Arabidopsis thaliana: one gene and its partner. The protein of the gene in region 1 interacts with the protein of each later gene in a pairwise test. Each region holds a gene or a part of one and is shown in the gene's direction. Other genes may lie near its edges.

The links. Proteins that work in one complex are often made in the same cells at the same time.
Region 2: the proteins of AT4G28020 (region 1) and LQY1 interact in a two-hybrid assay, tested with the Arabidopsis thaliana proteins (one large-scale study listed by BioGRID).

Annotation. Positions count from the first base shown.
Region 1 is NC_003075.7:13,933,389-13,937,141, reverse strand, and holds the start of AT4G28020 (tRNA-thr(GGU) m(6)t(6)A37 methyltransferase), read left to right. Parts: upstream 1-1,662; 5' UTR 1,663-1,892; coding exon 1,893-1,980; exon of another isoform or gene 1,981-2,082; coding exon 2,083-2,204; intron 2,205-2,205; exon of another isoform or gene 2,206-2,353; coding exon 2,354-2,454; intron 2,455-2,547; coding exon 2,548-2,743; intron 2,744-2,820; coding exon 2,821-2,913; intron 2,914-3,002; coding exon 3,003-3,062; intron 3,063-3,140; coding exon 3,141-3,215; intron 3,216-3,362; coding exon 3,363-3,443; coding exon of another isoform or gene 3,444-3,458; exon of another isoform or gene 3,459-3,509; intron 3,510-3,513; coding exon 3,514-3,753. Other genes in the region: AT4G28025 (uncharacterized protein), read left to right, coding at 606-690, 850-975, 1,069-1,170, 1,256-1,306.
Region 2 is NC_003070.9:28,421,862-28,425,614, reverse strand, and holds the start of LQY1 (DnaJ/Hsp40 cysteine-rich domain superfamily protein), read left to right. Parts: upstream 1-2,094; 5' UTR 2,095-2,444; coding exon 2,445-2,594; intron 2,595-2,677; coding exon 2,678-2,761; intron 2,762-2,874; coding exon 2,875-2,926; intron 2,927-3,061; coding exon 3,062-3,218; intron 3,219-3,320; coding exon 3,321-3,342; 3' UTR 3,343-3,753. Other genes in the region: HVA22G (HVA22-like protein G), read right to left, coding at 684-758, 865-1,071, 1,151-1,214, 1,298-1,540, 1,628-1,659. UniProt on the Arabidopsis thaliana protein: Protein disulfide-isomerase probably involved upon formation of a complex with HHL1 in maintaining photosystem II (PSII) activity under high light by regulating repair and reassembly of PSII complexes.

The DNA of each region.
Region 1 (3,753 bases):
TGTAATTCGTGATCTGGGTTTGTGATTTTTGTTGTTACTCGCCACCAAAGTCTCTGTTTTTCCTCTGAACTTCTAAAATCAGAATCCATTTTGGGTAATTGAGATTTCTCCAATTGTGACTTTGATTTCTTCTCTGTTGATTGGGTTAAGATGCTTTCTATGAGTAATGTTTGAAATTCAAATCCTTTATTCATCATCGTGTTTAAGATCCAAATGTAATCAGTGAACTGTTTATAGTTTGGAAGCGGTTTAGTTCCTATTGGATCTGTTTCATTTCACATAATCACACTTGTGTTGTGAATATTTGCTCTTGCGTTTTGGATAAGTTTACTTATTGGTACCGAATTGATAGTTATTCTATACATGAGATAAGCATTCCTCTTATTCTGCTTCTCTTCTCTTACTTACTTACATACCCTGTGTTTGTTCCATTGCCAGCTTTATTTCTTCTTTTCTTTTATGACATTTGTTAATCTAAGTTGGTAATAAGATCATGAAGAAGAAGCATTGGTTTTATCCAATTTAGGAGTCATTGATCAGTTGTTATCATTACGTTTGATAAATAGACAACTTCTCATTCATTATAAACATGTATTTTTCATCAGAAAGGGACTAAGAAGACACCAAGATGCAAAGTTGGTGGGCAACAGAGCCAGAGTTGGAGTAGTACGAGTCCTAGCGAACCCAAATGTATAACATTAACCTTTTTTTGCAGTTATAGATTTTGCTATCTTAGTAGTGTTTTCGTTCAGGACACCAAGTCATACTCATGTCATGTTTGATCTTCTTGTTGGTTGATATGATATGACCATTGGTTTAAACTTACTGACATGCTGAGTGTTCTTGTAGGTATCTCCTCCTCCTCCTCCAGGAAAAGCAAAGGTAAAAAAAGAGGTAATCATGGTAGACCCTCTTGAGGCTAAGCGGTTAGCTAGTAAGCAAATGGAAGAGATTAAAGGCAGAGAAAAGCAACAGGTGAGGAAATAAACCCTCTGGACGAATGATGATAAATTGTATACAAGATTTGTGGAGATAGCACAGAAGTTTATTCTCTCGTTTGCTTTACAGAGAAGGCGTGAAATAGAGGCTATTAACGGAGCATGGGCAATCATAGGACTCATGATAGGGCTGGTGATCGAAGCTCAAACGGGGAAGGGTATTCTGGCTCAGGTATGGTTTACTTATACTTCCTCAGTGTTGTTGATAAATGAAAGGCTTTTTTACTAAATCGTGAGGTTGCTATTTATAACTGCAGTTGGCTGGTTATTGGTCTGCAGTTGTCCATTTGTTCACTCCATCAACTTAGAATGAATTAAGTTTCATTTGGTTTTCTCTACTCTCAACTGTGACCAAATCTAATGTTGTGTTCATGCAAGTTAAGTTGTTAAACACATACACTTTGTAAATCCTCCCTTGTTTCAAAATGTCAAATCCTGCCATTTGTAAAAGAACAAAATTTAAAGAGTTTTACACTTAAATAAGAATCAAACATACACTTTTGTAACAATTTCTAAGAAAATATTTCCGTTTAGGTTTTCAATTAATTCTGCCTTGAATTCAATGAAATTGTTTGATGGATTCACACCAAAAAAAATGAAATTGTTTGATGGAAAAAAATAAATTTAGTTGTGTATAGTTCGTTAAATTTTAGTTTTTTTTTTTTTTTTGAGAAAGAAGTTTAGTATTTACTTACAGAACATAAAATATAGGCAAATCCAACAAATTCAGTGGGCCGTTGCTGGACTTTTAAGCATTTGATAATTATATGGGCCTTACAGTTATTATAACTGTCTCTCCCATAACTAAAAGTAAAAACCGATTTGACTCCCGGACCGATACATTCCCGCCGCCGTCGCAACGTTCCACTCGCCGTCGCAGCAAACAGTTCATCTATGGCTACATCAGGACGCTCCCACGGCTCTACCACGGCGGCTTTAGCCTTTACACTCGCCGTAGTATCTGTATCCGCTGCCTTCTCGCGTAATCTCTTTCTCTCTACCTCTCTGTCACTTCCTCTTCCCAATACCTGTTATTGAGCTGGTTTCGAGAAACTAACACTTTATTGAGCATGTTCTTGCGAAGTGTATAGATGGCGAAGACGAGAAGAAGATTTGGAGAATAGGATCAAGGAATTTGAGAAGTCTTTGGGATCTACCTTGGAAAAAAGTGCTTCTGAGAGAAAAGGTCGAGTCAAAGCTCAGCAGGTGAGTTTTTTTTTAACTTGTACTAGTCTCTGAAATATAGGAATTTAGATTCAAATCATTCAAATGCACATCAAAATTGATACTTGTCAAGATTGGAGGAAATCTCTATGGATTTATGTTCACTCTCTTGATGCAATTGAAAGCTGTAGGCTTTACGGGAGGCGTTAGCACAGACTGAGTCACATGATTTACACAGCACAATATACCCGATGCGACCTATTGGCACTATCCAGTCTTGCTTCTCTACTAGGTAACATGATCCTCATGGCTTTCCAGTTTCAGGGGAGCTTTATACTGTTTTAAAATAATTGGCTTCTTAAGTGCTACTTCTTGGTTTTTGCAGGAACGGGACACCGAGGCAGCCATTGCTTGTTTCTCTTGCGAGGGCATGTTTGATCTTTGATCCGGCTTTGGTTCCTCCTGCGTCTCTTGAGGGTCTTGAAGAGTATTCTCATTGCTGGATACTCTATGTGTTTCATCTCAATACTGATATCGAGAAGCTATGGAGAAAACCATCTCAGTCGAAGCTCAAGGCAAAGGTATGTTTCTTTTCTTTTGTTTGTTTCTATGTTATGATGTTACTCAGTCTGAGGTTTTTGGGGTGTTGTGAATTTAGGTGAGAGTGCCACGGCTAAATGGGGAACGGAAGGGAGTCTTTGCTACGCGGTCCCCTCATCGACCTTGTCCCATTGGCCTCACCGTTGCTAAGGTTTTCTGAGCGTAATCCGTTCCTCCTGTTGTTAATAAAGACATATTGAATATCTTGACCAAAAGTACTTAATGGTGATTAATCCTTAGGTGGAGGAAATCCAAAAGGATAAGGTTCTCCTCTCTGGTGTCGATCTGGTGGATGGGACTGTAATTCTCCTTTCCCTTACTCATGTCAGCTTTTTGAGTAATGAGTAGTTCGTTGATTGTTTTGACGGTTTTGGACAGCCGGTGCTCGACATCAAACCATATTTACCATACTCGGACAGTATTCAAGGAGCCTCAGTGCCAAACTGGGTAAAGGTAATGTACATTCTTGTGAATTGATCTTTCTAAGTTTTTCGTCTATGTAACTGAATACTGCTGAGACTTGAAGATCATTGTGAGTAACTGCGTCCTTACCTGAGTAGGTACAAGTAAAGATTAAAACAAATTGAATATGAATTTCAGGAGGACTGCTCATTGGCTGTGGCTTCTGTGACTTTCTCAGATACCTTCTCTTCATCCATCACCAGCTGCTGGAAACTGATAGTGAGTGACTTCTGACCTGATCATCTCTTCTCCATTTACTGTTTTAACATAATAGTTGCTATGCGCGCAGGAAAAGAAGTCTCTATATAGTTCAGCAGATGAGTTTAGGAGCTTGATCACGCAGGTCCTGTCATGGGACATACGATCAATGTCGCAACGGAACAAGCCACAAGATACATTGGATGAGGAAATTGTTTATCACTTGGTTCTGGAGGGACTAGACGTGTCTTACATGATAGATAATGAAAGTAATATTCTCGTTCAGGATGTTTCTCTTCCCAAAAACCTGCAAGATGTTGCAGGAAGCTGA
Region 2 (3,753 bases), on another chromosome or scaffold:
TATTTACTTTGCAGAGTGTTCTTTTTTTCTTTAATTCTTTTTCTTTTGGGATAAAATGTAATATTGACCTACTAGTGTAATTTTTTTGAATTTTAAAATTAAAGATTTAGGTAGGAGATGTCAGAGCGGGTTAATCCGTCCCATTTAACCTAATCTACAACAAATTGCGATACTTTGCGAGTTTTGACGGATCATTCCATCGAAGACCTCGATATTCAAACATCATTCTAAATCCTACTCAAATTTCAATTGTCTCTTGTACTCATGTATTTCATGTATGAGAATTATTTCACTGTCTGAATGGGTTATGGATACTACTGATCATAACCATATCGCAAACCCATTTTCAAACATCTAAGATTATAATCCTAATCAGATGTATACGGAGCACCACTAGATTTAAGAGAATGGGGACATAAGCTGGTAAAGAATTGGGCCACCATTAAACGTGTGAAAGAAGAATTTGGGTTTAGGCCCATATCAAGCTAGATTCTCATGATACTTGGTTAAAAAGCAACCTTTTTATTTTTCTCCGAAGCAATTTACATTTGAGATTCATGATTTATTCATAGTAACGACTAAAAGAAAGAAGATGATGCATAGTTAGTTAGTACAGTGTGTTTTCCCCAATAGTTTCCCACGAGTCAGGCTTAACGTTTTCCTCTCGAATGACTCTACGTACCTCATTTAGTGACTTCGTTTTCTTTCACCTTAAGAATTGGATCATCGAGTTTAGGTATTGTTGTCTCTTTCTTTTCCTGTTCACAAATAGAAAAACGAGCAAGATTTTTTATTGAAGTTCACTCACAAGTCAAATGTTAAAATGAAACAGAGAAGAGTAGAGAGGTGAAGAAATAAATATACCTCAGCCTTAGATTTTGGTGTTGATTGTTCTGTGATATACTGTAAGATCTCAAAGAATTTGGTCTGCCCTTGGTTGATTGCTTTTTGGAGATATATCATTGCCATATCCTTAGCTCTAGTCTTTACCTTCACCAAGTTGCGGTCAATTTCATTTTCATGCTTTGCTATATATGGCCTGAAGAAAGAATCGTAAACGTATGTTGTTCCCTGAAATGATATAACACATAGGTAATAAAAATTAGAGAAAAAGTCAGTTGAATCAAAAGATATATAAGATATTACTTACTTTAGTCTTTGGAAACCAGAGATAAATGAAGAAAGCCAACTTCGCCTCGCTATACATTGGTAACCTTCAAGACAACATGAAAACATAAGAATACTAATATACAATACTGTAAAACTCTTTGTTTTCTAAGTAATATAAACAGCCTACCAAGAAACAAGAGCATCACCAATTCTTTCGAAAATCGTCAAAGCAGCTACAATAATCCTGCAAAGATGTTTTGAGTGGAAGGAAGCAAGATTTATATAGGAACCTAAAAAGGTTATAGATAAAGGATAGAATGTATGCATATACCAATACTGGCACCAGAACTGAAGTTGTTGAATTTCAGGCTTGTTGAGTTCGACCGTTTTGAAGCACTCATAAGCAGGATATGCATATCCAAACACCATTCTGTCAATAAATAGAAAGATTCATTACTTAGTTTGATTGAAAGAAATGTGTGTTTTATAAAATTAAAAGAAGAGATCAATAACATACAAAAGCCCTCTTGTCAGAAACGATCCAATCATTGTGATCACCTGCTAAAACGTTTAAAAAAAACAAAAGAATCTGCTTGTCAGAATTAAATTCTCGACCCCGATTCATTGAAATGATTATATCATCCAAAATACAAAAAGACAGAGACAAAACAATCAACTAAACAATATTGATGCATGCCTTCAAACGATTACACTTCCTAAAGGCTAATATGAAGAAGAAGATATTAACGGTTTAAGCGATTGAACAATAACACATACCTTATCAGAAAAACGGTTTCGGCGAAAAAGGAATGAGAAGAATGATTTCGAACGAATTATAGACGACGGTTACGTACGATAGTGACTTGCGAATGGAGAAACAAAAGATGGAGAAAAGGCGAAGCAAAACGGTATCGGATAGTGACTTGCGAATCCTTTTTTCATTTGTTCTCTACTTGTGAGTTTCAACTTGAAACAGTGCGGTTTTTAAATAGTCAACAATCACGACTTTTAGACGTTATCAGCCGTTGGATTTATACTTGACGGTTGTGATCGTCTACGTTTAAGCGGGTGTATCGTATCTCACCACACCGTATCTTGTTTTCCTCTTCTCCAATACGCTTCGGAAAACTGGATTACAGTTAACAGTGGATTAGTGGATAAGGAGATAAATACTAAATATCTTATTAAGCCACGTGAACAAATCTTAGCCATGGAAACATAATCTAGTGGCTGAGATTAACCCAAAACTACTGGTTCTTCTTCTTCCTCTCATCCATCTTCGCGCGCTTAAGCGATTCTCTGCAAAGCTTCATACCAAACAAAGAGAAGTCGAAATGCCAGTTTCAGCTCCATCTCCGCCTCGTCTTCATTCTCCGTTCATTCACTGTCCCATCAATTTCACTCCTTCTTCTTTCTCGGCGAGGAATCTCCGGTCGCCGTCAACATCTTATCCCCGAATCAAAGCTGAACTCGATCCCAACACGGTTTGATCCTCATCTCTGGCTATATAGACTTTGTTCTCTTCTCACTAGTTTTTATTGATGAACGATTTTGATTATCTTTCTAGGTAGTCGCGATATCTGTAGGCGTAGCAAGCGTCGCATTAGGAATCGGAATCCCTGTGTTCTACGAGACTCAAATCGACAATGCGGTGAGTCTTCTCATTCTCATTGTTGAAAATTTGATACCGTTTTGGCAATGCTTCTAAGTGAGTGCATTGCTGTGGAATAAAGTTAACACTGTTTTGATTTTACACTTTCATAGGCTAAGCGAGAGAATACTCAACCTTGTTTTCCCTGTAATGGCACCGGAGCTCGTAAGTGGATCTCTCTCAACTTTTTGTTAGCATTTTGGTTGGATTTGTGTAAGAGCAAAATGTTTGATGTGTCGAAAATGTTTATAAACATATTATGATGTTTCTGAAGAAATAGTTTCTTTGGTGGTGGAGCAGAGAAATGCAGATTGTGTGTGGGAAGTGGTAATGTGACCGTAGAGCTTGGTGGAGGAGAGAAAGAAGTCTCAAACTGTATCAACTGTGATGGTGCTGGTTCCTTAACTTGCACTACTTGTCAAGGCTCTGGTGTTCAACCTCGATACCTTGATCGAAGGTACTATACTATACGATTACTGTGAATCAGGAGCCACTCTGTTTTTTGCACATTGTAGAGATACTAACACATTTCTCTTTTCTTTTCTTTTCTTCTGGTCAGGGAGTTCAAGGACGATGACTAAATACCTTGCTCTAAGGAACATTTCTTTTCTTCTCCCTTCTCACATTTCTTCATTGTACAATGCTGTTTTGTTCACCAAACATGTTGAGAGAACATCATGACATGGATATTGTAATTGTGAAAGAAAACCACCAGAGTTCAATCAAATGTTTCTTCTTGTACTTACCTAGTAACCATGTCTACCTCGTCAAGCACATTGATTCAGTTTGTAATACTAAATCTATCCTCTTGCGTTATGGAATCAGCTTTCCTTGACCTCAAAGCAGTTACCATGTCCGACAAAGCGCCTGCCATTTTCCCCAATGCTGCTGGATCAAATATGGCTCGGTCTCAAAGAGGTCTTTGAATCCGGTTCACTCTTCCTTTTTCTATCCACCAAATGTGTGTTTGCTTGCGCTACAATTGGTGATGA